Linked DNA regions of Nothobranchius furzeri. The protein of the gene in region 1 purifies or fractionates together with the protein of each later gene. This does not show direct contact. Links are inferred from orthologs where the notes say so. Each region holds a gene or a part of one and is shown in the gene's direction. Other genes may lie near its edges. The genes, in order: mapk4; FAST kinase domain-containing protein 5, mitochondrial.

Region 1 (3,818 bases):
ATGATGATTGAGAAACACACCCTGTCGGAAGGAAATATATTTCTAACTGACAAGCTGGTTTCATCCTACACCAACCCTCTCCCTTCAGAGCTGACATCAGAAACTCAAAAGGGTCATCTTCTCCCCGTCATTCCTGCTTGAGAGCCTTTCACACATCAGGTGTCTGGAATGCTTTACTCACCTCTCGCTTAGCAAACAAGGGATGGAGGGCAACACACCCCATTTTTTTGTATACCGGAGGGAAAACACTGCACTTAACAGCAGAATACAAGGCTTGCTCTTCTCTCAGAATGAGCAACGTGTGGATATAGCACCCCCTGCTGTTTGTCCTGAACACAATGATGAAAATAGAAATCCACACTGTGTGTGTGCTGCTGTCAGCTGGAAACATCCATAATCCATAATCTCTCACGTCAAAAACATTAAATTAGCTAAAAGGGCTCAAATACACAACAGCTGATTTCTTCCAGTGTGCAGAGTGGCTTAAAGTTGGTTTAAAATGGTTTGTTGGAACTAGTTATAGAGACAAGTCTAGTTAAATTAAAAAAGATTATTAATTTCTTATGATATTTAATAATCTCTCACCAATTATGTGTACATTTAGGAGCAGTAAACCCAAGAGACTTGCAGCCTGCCTGGACCCTTTTAATTAAATCTTCTAACTTTGGTTTTTCTATCTCCTGACAGCTCTCTCAGCCCCCAGTTATCCTTGTTTGACTTCATTTCTTTCCTTATGTAACTGATTCTCTGTCTCCTCTCGCTGCTTGCCTCTGATTGGACGTCTCTGTCCCCCAGGAGCCCACGAGCTGGAGCAGATGCAGCTGATTCTCGACACAGTGCCGGTGCTGAGAGAGGAGGACAGGCAGGATCTGATGCAGGTGACACCTTGGCTGCAGGACGGATATCTGCAATCTGATATTGACAGATGTTGTCTGTCAGCAGAAAGTAGGCAGCAGTTATAAAATGTGGCTGATGTGCACAGAAAACATTTACAGCATGACTTCTGACTCAGTTGAAATCTGCTTTATCGCAGTTTAATTCTGCAAATGCAAATAAATAAATAATAATTCAACATTATACAAATAGGAAAAGAATTTAAAATTGCTATTGGATTAGTTGTTTTTTTAGCAAAGAGACAGAAATCAAACCAATCTTACTTTCTAAAGTAAAATATAAATTAGAAAATAAATAAATAAAGACCTGTGTATAATTTCTTTCCTCCATGTTTTTTCTAGGTGATGCCTTCATATGTCAGTAATGGGTGGAAAGTCAGGAAACCCTTTTCTGAGCTGCTGCCTGAAGTGGATGCTCAGAGTGAGTGCTGGCAGTAAAAAAGGGGTTGTTGTGTAAAAAGAAACAGAAACCAGATAAATAAATAAAAATACAGTTTTTCAATGACCGATGAAAAAACAAGTTAGGAATTTTAAAAGGAACTCGCTTCACTAAGCTCTACTTATCTGCTTCCCAGCTGTGGATTTTCTGGAACGCATTTTGACCTTTAACCCCATGGATCGTCTGACAGCTGAAGAGGCCCTGTCCTACCCGTTCCTCCAGCAGTACTCCTGTCCCGAGGACGAGCCCACCTCATCACATCCCTTCCGCATTGAGGACGAGCTGGACGGCCTCATTACAGATCAAAGTCTGAGTAACAGTCAGACCTCCAGCTTTTACTGGGAAAGGTGCTGATCCAGCTTTTCAAAATGTTTTTATCATTATTATTATTGTTAGTAGTAGTAGTATTTAATTATTTGTTTTTGTAGCTGAAATTTAGTGAGTCCATAAAAAATCTGGACAATTTGTTTGATTTTCCACCAAAGAAACAACTTTTTTTTTTCTTCAATGCTATCCAAAAGCCATGAACCACACCTTATTTATTTATTTTAACTTTCAAAAAGCCAGTTGGTCTTCCGTTTTGAAAGTTGAGCAGTAGATTTCCATAAAGAGCAAGTCAACCCCTACCGCAGTCAAGCCTGGGGCACACCAGAGGCGGACACAAGTCCCGCGTGATGTTGTGACTATCGCACAATTTTCCAAGACGCGCTCAGCGTAACAGCGCATCCTGTGTTTCCACTGGACTTCTCAAAATCTCGGGCGCAGCGCATTCCCCTCTGCCTCTGGTGTGCCCCAGGCTTTACTTCGCTCCCCACTTCCTGTTTGAAAAATGCAGAAAGCCGCAGTTTGGCCATAACAAACACCATGTTCGAACATAAGGATGCCCATCGGTACACTTGGTACCAGGGCAGCCTAGGTTGCAGGTCGATGATAGACTTTGTAGTTGTATCATCTGACCTGCGGCCGTATGTTTTGGACACCCGGGTGAAAAGAGGAGCGGAGCTGTCAACTGATCACCACCTGGTGGTGAGTTGGATCAGATGGCAGGGGAAGATGCTGCGTAGACCTGGCAGACCCAAATGCATAGTGAGGGTCTGCTGGGGACACCTGGCAGAAGAACCTGTCAAGACGGTCTTCAACTCTCACCTCCGGCAGAGCTTTGACCACGTCCCGAGAGCAGTGGGGGACATTGACTCCGAGTGGGCCTTGTTCCACTCTGCGATTGTTGAGGTGGCTGTTGCTAGCTGTGGTCGCAAGGTGGCCGGTGCCAGTCGTGGGGGCAACCCCCGTAACCGCTGGTGGACACAAGAGGTTCAGGGAGTCAGGCTGAAGAAGGAGGCCTACAGGGCGTGGCTGGTCTGTGGGTCTCTGGAGGCAGCAGACAGGTACCGGATAGCCAAGTGGGGTGCAGCAGTGGCAGTTGCCTAGGCAAAATCTCGGGCGTGGGAGGAGTTTGGTGAGGCCATGGAGAAAGACTATCGATCGGCTCAAAAGAGGTTCTGGCAAACTGTCCGGCGCCTCAGGAGAGGAAGGCAGCAACTCGCTCACACTGTTTACAGTGGGGATGGGGAGCTGCTGACGTCAACTGAGGCTATAGTCGGACGGTGTAAGGAATACTTTGAGGAGCTCCTCAATCCCACCTATGCGCATTCCGAGGAGGAACCAGAGCCGGGAGACCTGGAGATGGAATGTCCAATCTCTGGGGCAGACGTTGCTGAGGTAGTCAAACAACTACACAGCGGCGGAGCCCCGGGGGCGGATGAGGTTCGTCCTGGGTATCTCAAGGCTATGGAAGTTGTAGGGCTGTCGTGGCTGACACGTCTCTGCAACATTGCGTGGTCATCTGGGGCAGTTCCTGTGGAGTGGCAGACCGGGGTGGTGGTCTCCGTCTTTAAGAAGGGTGACCTGAGGGTGTGTTCCAACTATAGGGGATCACACTCCTCAGCCTCCCTGGAAAGGTCTACGCCAAGGTACTGGAGAGGAGGGTCTGATCGATAGTTGAATCTCAGATTGAGGAGGGTAGGGTTAGGGTTAGCGTCCTGGCCGTGGAACTGTGGACCAGCTCTATACCCTTGCAAGGGTGATGGAGGGGGCATGGGAGTTTGCCCAACCAATCCACATGTGTTTTGTGGATTTGGAGAAGGCTTATGACCGTGTCCCCAGGGCACCCTGTGGGGGACGCTCCAGGAGTATGGGGTGGGTGGCTTTCTGTTAAGGGCCATTCAGTCCCTTTACCAGAGGAGCGTGAGTTTGGTCCACATAGCTGGTAGTAACTTGGACCTGTTCCCAGTGAGGGTTGGACTCCGACAGGGCTGCCCTTTGTCACCGGTTCTGTTCATTATCTTTATGGACAGAATTTCTAGGCGCAGCCGTGGTGTGGAGTGTGTCGAGTTTGGTGGCAGGAGAATCTCGTCTCTGCTTTTTGCGGATGATGTGGTGCTCCTAGCTTCACCCAGCTGTGACCTTCAGCTCTTGCTGGGTAGGTT
Region 2 (4,255 bases), on another chromosome or scaffold:
CATGTTGATATATATTTTACAGCAGATTGCTGCAAATTCTACAATAATTCCTTCATAACATGTATACAATTTTCAAAAAAATTAAAGATGATTTTTTATTAGATAGTTCTGTATGATAATATATTACACATAGAATGCATGAATACGTTAAAAAATATGAACAATAAAAGCAACTTGTGTTTTGATCCGAATTTTACGTAATATAACTGCATAGGGAAGTGTCGCCAAACGTGAGGAAAATTAAATGTAATCTCTACAAAGCTCCAGCAAAAATAGCTTTGAACACACATGCAGATTGTAATTTGTGAATAAAAATAAGTTAAATATCGGTGAGATGATTGGATGCAGCAGGCCTACATTAAGATGAATGCTTTTGAAAGTTGTGAGATGTTTGTTGAAAAACAATAATGGTTGCTTTCAGTACAATTTAATGCCATCCAACTTAAAATGTCCCAGTGGTGTGGGAAAATAATCACAACATTAATGTTTTCAAAGATCAAAGTTCATAATAGTTCATAAATGTATTGTCTGTTGTTTCAGATTTAATTTTGTTACAATAAAAAAGACTACTCATAGGTCAAAATTTATTGAATTTCAAACAGAAAAACAAGTACAATACAACAAATAATAATAGCTTGCCCTGGCACGTTATTACTCAGATGTAAAATAGTTTTATTGGATTATTTATTCTTCAAGGGTTTATCTATAATGGGTTGGATGAAGCACTTTTGGGATATGCCTGTTATCATAAAAAAAAAATCATGACAACATGCCTTAAGTGCTATACACGCTATGCATGAACAGAAATAATACAGAATACTGTACAAAAATCAAGAAAAAGAGTTAATGTTCTAATTAAGTTGTGAAACATATGCACAGTCATTAGAAAAATAAAAAAGTCACAAGTGACAAACATCAGCGTTTTCATATGAGCTCACTCAAAAAATAGTTTGACTTCAATCTCAATTTCTGCTGATACAAATTAAGAATAAACGGAAAACAAAAACATGCAGAATAACTTTTTTAATTTTTTTTAATTTTCACTTTGAAATATTTAGCAGAAATATATAACCCACGTGGTAATACAATAGTAATGCTTTGTTTAAACGTTTTGTGTGACATAGTGATAATTTTGTTATTTAGCAACATTATATCCAAGTGTGAAATTAGCATTTGAAATAAAGCAAATGTATATTGTTTCAGTTTAAAATTTAGGATATTTTGATAAAAGACGATTTTTGGAATGAAAAAAAAAGATAAATAAAAAATAAAAATTGTGTTTCGTTTTTGCTGTTTCTTGAACCAATGCGGCTGCCATAGATCAAACTATTGCCCCTTTACCCGGAAGTTATTTTTCTGCCACAATAATATATCGTTGACGCATTTCCATGTCCATCAACGTCATTCTACGTTGAATATTTTAGTTTTTTAAACATCTAGTATAAATAATGATCCAAAATAACAATTTTATATATTTTACTCTGTAAAGCGATTTACAGGCGTCTGGTTTGTTTTATTTTGAAAATAAAACCCTTGAGTTCCGGTGTGATTGGAAAAAGACCTCTCTCAACGGTTGAACCCTAAGAAATGGGTGGTTTCCACGAGGTTTCATGCCAAAAATTAAATAAAGGTGAGTTATATCAACACCACAGTAAAGTTAGAGTTTCTGCTTTAATGATCAACTCTGATGACGATGTTTGGTCCACGATAGCTTCAAACTAACGTCCAGTCATGCCGTGTTGTACGCTGCTCTTGTTTAAACACTAGGTCACTCTGCAATCAATATGCGCAGCTAAATTATTATTTTATATAATATACGTTATACAATTCTTATTAAACATCCCAAAATAAAGTTTGACAACAAATTAGTTGACGTAACCTTTGCCTCTCGTTTCAGTGCTAGCTCTCTGATGGCAGCCTGTGTGTTGTGTTGGAGGGCTGCAAGGCTTCGTTCCCTTCCAAACTGGAGAAAAAGTTTTACCAAGGCTCAACACATCAGATCAAAAGATGACATAACTGACCAGGAGGAGAAGGAAGTGTTGCATCACCAAGAAAGCTCTTTCCATGGAGGATACAGACTACATTACAACCCTTTACCGTATCATCGCTCTGCGTGGAACTCAAATTCTCGCCGCCAGACAGATAACGATGTCGAAGATGATCAGTGTTTAACTGCTAAGGCTCCTTCTTTGTGGCAACAAGGGAGTCACTACAGCGTGTGTACCTCACGGCACCTTTCAACCTCTAAAAACACTCTTCTGGAACTGGCTTTCAATAAAGTCCCTGAACCAGAGAGACCATCAGCGCTGCAACATCGCAACAAAAATCCAGAATCACCAGATGTTAAAGTAGACCCACGTGCCTTTCTAAAATGCAGACCTGAGTACGCCTCTGTCGCCCTCGATCTTACCAGTCGTCCTCATCCCGTTGAATGGGTCGATGTGTTGCCGTTACTCCAGAAAGTGTCAGTCTTAAAGGGCAAGATGAAGCCTATCGATGTCTCTGAGTTTTTCAAAGAGCTCAGCAAGTTGCACCCAGACAAACTGCCGCTGCTTAAAAGGGACCAACGCTTCATCATGCTTCTTCGGTATTCTGTGCAACACCTTCGCCACTTTTCTGTGCCCCAGCTGCTGGAGGTTTTGGAGTCATTTGTATGGCTGGAAATCCCTTCTTCTCACACCGTGCTGGGGGTATATGAGGCTGAGCTGTGTCGCCGGGCCAACCAGATGAGCTTACATCAGATGCTGTTAGCTGCTGACTTGTGGCGCTGCATCAGAAGGCAGATCCCACAGTTTTTACAGCGTCTTCATGACTCATTTAATCAACATCTGGGACAAGTAGGTGTCCCTGAGCTGGTCCAGATGATATATATAATAGGTGAAGGGAGGCACTGCCCAAAAGACTTGATCCGTTCTTTAGAGCAACTTCTGTTGCGCCATTTACATCATCTCCATCCTGAAGAGATTGGCACTGTATGTCTTGGGCTCTTTAAATCCCAAACATCAATTTCTGAGGGCGCACTGACTTGTATTGTCGACGGCGCGCTCTCGCTTGTGACTGAGATGAGTGACTTTGCGGTGGCGAACGTGATGAAATACCTGCGTTTCAGTTATCTTTTTCACAGGCCATGGCTGGAAGCAATGGCACAGGAAGTCCCTCGACGTGCCCACGGGATGGCTGTTCAAGGACTGATGCACTTGGCTTTGACTTGTTCAGCTCTTCATTACCGCAATGATAGCATCCTGACTGCCATCGCCGAGAGAATTCCCCCGCTCGTGCCGCATTGCAGGAGTAAAGACTCGTGCAAACTCCTGTGGGCCTTTGGCACCTTAGGCTTTCTCCCCAGTCAGAATCCAAGTTTTTATCCAAGCCTTACAGAAAGCCTGAGGCAGAGGAAAGCCGAATTCCAGCACTACCCAGAGCACCTGCTTACTGGCCTTCTAGGCTTGGCCTTTGTCTCACAGTTCCCGGAGGACCTGATTGCGTTAGCTTTAAGCCCAGACTTTGTCAGCTTAGCACTGAAATCCACCCATCTGGAGCTGAAAAAGGACCTGTTCACTTTAGATGGAGCTGTTGCTTTGGAGCTGCCTCGGTGGACTGGCCCACGATTAAGTCCGAAGTTTAGAGAAGAGGTGGCTGAAATGCTGTGGAAGTTCATGCAGTCGGCTATGTGCCAGAAGCCAGAAGTTCTGGAGGCAGAATCGGCTCTTCAGGATCTGCTTGGAGGGGAAAAGTTTGTATGTAAGAGGATGATCCTACCTCACACTCGCTCCATTGACCTTGAAGTGCATCTAGACTCCAGCGGACAGCCCATACCTGTGAACCCACCAGTCATAGAGCGACATAAATCAGTTAGTCCGTCTCATCCGAGCTGGGAAAAATTCAACTCTGGTGTGATTATTACTGATAAAATTTTAGCACAGTTAATAAATGGCAAAAACATCCCAGATTCTCCAGCATCTTCTCCCAGAGTTCAACCTGCTTCCCACCATAGTTTACCACCTGATGAAGATGGGAGACTGTTTGACTCAGTTCTGGATTTGTTCAGTGACTTCACAAAAACTCCAACCAAACCTAGAGGCCTGGAGTCCAAAGACCCCATCAAAGTGGCGGTTCAGATCTCTAGCAGGAACCACTACTGCTCCCAGTCACCGCAGTTACTGGGACTTCATGCCATGAAGAGAAGACAATTAAAAATGGCAGGTTACAGGGTCGTGGAGCTGAACCTTCAGGAGTGGATGCCACTGCTCAGGAA

The links.
Region 2: the proteins of mapk4 (region 1) and FAST kinase domain-containing protein 5, mitochondrial purify together in Homo sapiens (affinity purification with mass spectrometry; 3 studies listed by BioGRID and IntAct, with this or other methods). This does not show direct contact. The link is inferred for Nothobranchius furzeri from reciprocal best matches to the Homo sapiens genes MAPK4 and FASTKD5.

What each region holds. Positions count from the first base shown.
Region 1 is NC_091757.1:50,261,311-50,265,128, forward strand, and holds part of mapk4 (mitogen-activated protein kinase 4), read left to right. Parts: intron 1-795; coding exon 796-878; intron 879-1,235; coding exon 1,236-1,314; intron 1,315-1,468; coding exon 1,469-1,679; intron 1,680-3,818. UniProt on the Homo sapiens protein: Atypical MAPK protein. Phosphorylates microtubule-associated protein 2 (MAP2) and MAPKAPK5.
Region 2 is NC_091754.1:22,726,875-22,731,129, forward strand, and holds the start of FAST kinase domain-containing protein 5, mitochondrial, read left to right. Parts: upstream 1-1,327; 5' UTR 1,328-1,630; intron 1,631-1,897; 5' UTR 1,898-1,910; coding exon 1,911-4,255. UniProt on the Homo sapiens protein: Plays an important role in the processing of non-canonical mitochondrial mRNA precursors.